Linked DNA regions of Mus musculus: region 1 is reported to be linked to region 2. Evidence: microRNA targets listed by miRTarBase, many of them from high-throughput screens and not tested one by one. Region 2 holds a microRNA gene; the other region holds the end of a gene's coding sequence.

Region 1 (3,074 bases), not on the chromosome of region 2:
GGGAATGGAAACGTAAGGATGACCAGCAGCTGGGGGAGGGAGCTTAGGGTAGAGGAGGTAGTGAGGGAGGAAGTCCAGCATGGATCCTGAGGTATATAACAACTATGTATGAACAGGGACTGAGGGGCCTGGAGGCCAGCATGGGCTTTGATATGCGGCCACAGGTATATGTCAAATGAAGAGCCATATGTCCCTTCTGTCAGAGGTAAGGGAAATGCAGTCTTGGCTGAGCCTGTGTCACACATTCCTGAGAAATGCTGGTTTTTACCTAACTGCCAACAACCGCTCTGAAGTTAAGCTTGAGGGAAGTCAGGACTGTCGCTGCTGGACACTTGCACTGCCTCTTGCAGTTCCAGGAACTGGAGTTTCCTTTGGGACCTGACAATACCACAAACCAATTCCAGGGTCTGAATAATCCATACTATCAAGAGGTCACTGCAGCCTCACTTCACAACTTCTGACAATCCAACATTAATTAAAACACTCCATCAGAGACAGCAGCATTTTCTTGCGTAGTCCAGTCCAGTCTGAGACACCATGAAGGTCTGAGTGACTGGCTTTGGCTATGCAGGGCTCCTGGCTGCCTTCACCTCTTGGTAAAGTGGATACTGTTGCCATGAATGACCTCTCATTGACTACAAAGACAAGGTGTTCCAGTGCAGTTCTAGCCATGGCATACTCCACAGCAATCAAGGCTCAGGATGGGAAACTCAAAGGGAAGGCCATTTCCACCTTCCCGCAGTGACACTCCACCATCAAATGAGGTGATGACAGTGTGGAATATGTTATGGAGTCTACTGGCATCTTTACCACCATGGTGAACAAAGCCCACTTGAAGGGTGGAGCTGAAAGTGTCATCACCTCTGCCCCTTCTGCTGATCATGTTTGTGATGGGTGTGAACCATGAGAAGTATGACTAGCTCAAGACTGTCAGTAACACCTCTTGCATCACCAACTGTTTAACCCCCACACCTAGCACCATCAAGGGACTTATGATCACAATTCAAACCATCACAACTCAGAGGACCATAAATGTTTTAGGCCACAGGACTGCCTAAAGTATCCTTATATCCACTGGCACTGCTAAGGGTGTAGACATGCTCATCCCAGAGCTAAATGGGTAACACATTGGTTTGGCCGCCTGTGTTCCATCCCGCAGTGTGTCCATTGTGGATCTAAGAAGCCATATGCTCCATATACGATGACATCGATAAAGTGAACACGTGAAGGGCACCCTGGGCTGAGGACAAGACTGTCTCCATGATCCCACCTTTGATGCGGGATCTGCGTCACCTCAGCACCTTTGTCAACTCACTTCCTTCATGGCCTCCAAGGAGTAAGAAGGCCCGAACCAGCCCAGCCGTCCCAGCAGGGCAGAGAGGAAGACAGAGGCCTCTGCTGCTGGAGTCCCTGTCCCAACTCAGCCCAGCCCCCAACACTGAGCATCTCCCACTACAGCTGGCTTTTGCTACTTTGTGGGTTCTTCTTTCTCCCACCTTTTATCCTTCTGGCCTTCACCGCTATCACTAGTTAGGAAAGAAGGAAAGGTGAGTGAGAAAGAGCGTGCGAGAGACTTGAATCTAATTTTTCTTCTTGCTTCTTCTTTGAACACGACTACTCACAAACCACAACCAACACTGCCTCTTGGGGCCTTAGACTTTATATCCCTGTGAAAAGTTTCCATTATCCCAAATGTCACCCAATTGCAGAAACTACCTGCAGCTGGCAAACCATGCCTCTACTAGAGCACGAGGCACATCAGTTGCTTCAAAGCAGCCCCATATACCCACACCTGGGATTAAAATGAAAACATATTCTTTTTTTTTTTAAGATTTATTTATTTATTATATGTAAGTACACTGTAGCTGTCTTCAGACACTCCAGAAGAGGGAATCAGATCTCATTACGGGTGGTTGTGAGCCACTATGTGGTTGCTGGGATTTGAACTCCGGACCTTCGGAAGAGCAGTCGGGTGCTCTTACCCGCTGAGCCATCTCACCAGCCCAAAACATATTCTTATATTTCTGCATTTTTAAAAAAGAATCCAAAATTCCACAATTCTCACTACACCTATTTCTATCATAGATCCCTAGAAGGGAGCCTCATTCTTTTGAATACCATCAATAAAGTTCACTATAGCCACACATAAAAATGCTTAGAACTGTAACTTTATTCAACAAAAAACACAAATTCAAGGTTTCCAGCTTCCAGAACATGTTGGATGCCTTAAAAATAAAGGAGCTTCATTACAAAATTTGAAGCCTTAAAAAAAAAATTCTGCTACAAAATATGTCAAAATTATTCTAAAGTCATACTCATTCTGAAAACCAGGTTTTTATAGCATAAAAACAGCAACATGTTGACAACTTTATTTTGCTAAGACACTCACACAGAAGCAATACAACAGTTTACATAGTCCATGGTCTCTAACCATGTAACCACCACAGTCGCTCCGAGAAAGTCCCCGCTGAGTCTGCGGAGCCCACGTCGCCTGAGTCATTAGAAGTCTTGGCGGATGTTTTCCTTGTTGGCCTCCCCGTGCTGCTGCTTGATCTGATAGATCTCGTTCTCCAGCTGGACAATCGTCCGCTCAATCTCATAGTTCTTACTCACCAGCGACACCCAGCTAGGAAAGAGAGTCAAAGGAAAAAGAGAGAAGAGGGAAAAATGAGCGGATGTAAAATTTCTTGCACAGTTTATTTTAAACATATGTAGTTTCACTATGGGCACTAACATTTTTAACTTTCCATTAAAAAACAACGTTATGGGAAAGCAGGGGAAGGGTACACAGGGGCTCTCTGCATTACTTAAGTTACCCAACAATCGTCTCATGATAGTTACCTTAAGAAATAAGCAGAAACAAGAGACTCAGGGAGACAGAAGAGACAGGAAAACAGCATAAGATTAAAAGAACACAGGCAGAGGTTTACACGATGGACAAAATTCTGGAATTGACAAAACAAACTACCACTACCACCAAACCCCATAGCCTTAGCCACTATTTCCTGTAACTAAATCTCCAGGACAAATGTAAAGAGCACTAGCGTGGAGAGAGCTGTGAAAGGAGCCGGCAT
Region 2 (3,000 bases):
CAGACAGGGATACAAGAGGCAAAATGTCACCACCCTCTTGACCTTGTAAAGAGGTGTCCAAAACTACAAGAACCGTCTACAGAGACAACTCCTTCTAACTGCCACAGATCCTGATTGACTCGTTCGGCCGTTTGCATCAAATACGTAGAAGCCTCCTTCCCTGGCCCCTAGGCCACCCGGTCATTAAAAAACACATAATCTCAATTATTTCTTTGCATAGCCGAAGACGTAAAACACATGATTTTGTTGTTTTACATGTAACTCTGGAAGTATTCTACCTTATCTCCCAAGCTGCTTAACAGCTGCCTGATGCTGAAGGTTACTTCATTAATTGCCAAGACCAGCAGCGCTTTGGCACACATGACACAAATGCCCAGCTGAAGCCTAGTGGCGGCTAAATGACCTCAGAAACCTGGACCTGTTCTCCAAGACCGAAGGAGACAAAGGCAGCATAAGACCCTCCGAACTTTGTTCTCTGCAGATGGTACATACAGGGAACAGAATATTTAAAGGCTCCATCCTCCCAAGGTACCCTGAGAACCAGAGAAATGGGAGTGAGGGTTGCAAGTTCAGTGAACTCTTCAGAGTTTCAGCGAGGTAGGAGGTGGCGTCCTGGTGCCTTCACTGAGTCCTGCAACGCTTTTTTCCAACAAGCAATCTTAAGCAGTGCCTTTGATGATATGCAACGCCACCACCAGACCCTACTGGGTTTCTGCTTCAAGGGCAAAATGTCACTCTAAGGACCCTTCGTCCTAGGGATACTCGAACTCTGCCAAAGTTGGTTTTGCAAATAAAATGTTTAATCTACCTGAAGAGAGGTGTGCAAACAGGAACCTCCCTCCAGAGGAGCAGAACAGCTAACTTGCAGTCAACGTGACAAAATTTTCTCTGTATTTCCCCAGGTCACAGGGATCGGTGATTCCCCAGCGTGGGAAACAGCAGTCTAGCCGCGTCACTGACACCAGAACCAGAACAGGGGCTTACCTTGTTGGAGGCCATCTCACTGACGGAGTGCCTGGTCTGCAGGGTCTCTAGCTGGTCCAGACACCAGTCCAGCTCCTCCAGGGTCTCGCTGGCCAGTTTCTGGTAGGCCTCCTCTGCGAAGAGACAGGGAAAGGAGGACTCAGTTCGTAAGCGCTTCACGGGACCACCAGCGAGTTCAAAGGGGGCCATCCTGCCGTACCCCGCCATGCTCGGATGCCCGGTGCCCGCACATGAGGGCTGCTCCTTCATATTGCAGGGCCCGGCGGCGCGCGGGGGGCTGAGGTTGGACTAGTGGGGCCGGGCTCAGGCTGGCTGAGATGCTCCAGCTTGACGTCGCGGGTCAGCCTCCAGGGAGGGGCGCAAAGTGCTGCAAGGCCAACTTTGGCACGGGGACGGCGGGCGGATTCTCAGTGGCGCGCGAGCACGGGCTTCCCTGCGTTGGGATGCTGCCCCTGGTGGCCGGCTCGGGGGGAGGGGGTGGGAGCAGGGGCTCGCCCCGCAGACCGGCGAGCGGCTCCGGGACGTCCGCGTCCCGCAGCCCCGGGCTCCACGCCGCCGCCTGCCGCGAGCCCCACGCGCGAAGCGAATGAATCAGCTGCGGCCGCCGTTTCCTGTTTTGTCGCTCAAGTCCGCGGGCGGGCGGGCGCAGCGCCGCTCCATGCTGGCTTTCCGGGAACACTCCCCCTTGCGCCCCTCGCGGCCCCGCGGCGCTGTCTGGCTCCCCCGCGACTCCTTACGAAAGGGTTCCGAGTTGCAATAAGCCGTCCGGACCGCCCTCCCCGCCACCTCGCCGCGGCATCGCCCCAAGGCAGCCGGCGCCGCTGCTCTGAAGCGCAGCCCGGAGGGAGGCGCAGCCACGCACGCGTGTATCTGTGTGTTTGTGTGTGTGTGTGTGTGTGTGTGTGTGTGTGTGTGTGTGTGTGTGTGTGTGTATCTGTGTGTGTATCTGTGTGTGTATCTGTGTGTGTATCTGTGTGTGTATCTGTGTGTGTGTGTGCAGCGCTGCTGTGGAGCTGTCTTGCACCAGAGCAGCGGAAAACCCGGCGTGGAGCGCCCGCCGCCTGGGGTCCCCGCGGGGCTCAGGCGGGGCTCGGTTGGCCCCCAGCGCGCAGGCGCGTGCAATCGCGCACCTGCCCCGCGGGGGACCCTGGGGTGCACAGCGGAGTCCCGGGCCCTCTATCCCAGCGCCGCCTGCCAGGCCCTGCTGTCCTGGGTTGCAAGGTGACTTAGGACAGGCACTACCCTTTCTGCATGCAGGTTTAATTTAAGTTTGCGAGTTTCCATGGATTTGTGTCCCAAAGGTTAGGATTTACTTACTCAAAGGGAATTGTGGGAATAAAATCGTCTCTACTGGGGACAGACTGTCAGTATCCAGCCAACCCCTCTAAAATTTGGGTTAGATGTAAACAGACAAACCATAATGTTGTGGGGACAGAATGCCTTAGAATGTGACAACAGGCTACATTTCACCTTCAGAATTACCCTAGAGCTACCTTAAAGGAACAGCAATGGGAACGAACCAAGGAGCAAGGGGAATTTACACATGCCCTGCTGGGGTGTCTCCTCTGCAGAAAACACAAGAACACCCTAGACTTGGGGCTCAAGACAGAAAGTCTAGTAGTCTGTTTTCTGCCCACTATGGACGAAATGGACTGTCAGAACTATGGGGCAATGGGTTCTGCTGATAAAAGCTGACGCAGGGAACTTGGCCACTTTCCCTAAGCCGGTCAGTTCCGAAACTGAACAGCAATCTTATTTCAGAAAGAGAAAAGTTGAAACCCCAGGGGTCTAGCCTACAAAACTGGCAGGAGAAAGGAAAAGCCTTATGTGAAGTGGTGGGGTTCTCCTTTTCCCCTTCTGATCTACAGTATTGTGGGGGAAAGAAGTTCTGCCCCAATGTAGGCTCCATTAATTATCAGGCGGGACAAAGAATGCGGTGGGTTGAATCTCAGGATTCTGAGATTTCCTTACATTTGTAAAAATTTCAGTAACTTTTAGAGTGTGTGAGACTTGCTT

Evidence for each region. Region 2 holds the annotated microRNA mmu-miR-1904 (GUUCUGCUCCUCUGGAGGGAGG, at 834-855, opposite strand). A microRNA usually pairs through its seed, bases 2 to 8, with sites in the 3' UTR of a target mRNA and lowers its output. Matches are read on the target gene's strand: a 7mer-m8 pairs with bases 2 to 8, a 7mer-A1 pairs with bases 2 to 7 and ends in A, and an 8mer does both.
Region 1: miRTarBase lists Bcas2 as a target of mmu-miR-1904. Seed matches in the 3' UTR shown: 7mer-m8 at 2,276-2,282 and 7mer-A1 at 2,022-2,028.

The regions. Positions count from the first base shown.
Region 1 is chr3:103,177,907-103,180,980 of GRCm38, reverse strand. It overlaps Bcas2 (breast carcinoma amplified sequence 2), which reads right to left. Exons shown (of 7, transcript NM_026602.4): 7 at 1,818-2,626. The coding sequence ends at 2,500. Among named protein-coding and RNA genes, the nearest start is that of Bcas2, 7.8 kb to the right of the region's middle.
Region 2 is chr13:109,901,674-109,904,673 of GRCm38, reverse strand. Mir1904 (microRNA 1904) reads right to left here and starts at 865; the gene lies at 786-865. It overlaps Pde4d (phosphodiesterase 4D, cAMP specific), which reads right to left. Exons shown (of 17, transcript NM_011056.3): 8 at 985-1,097.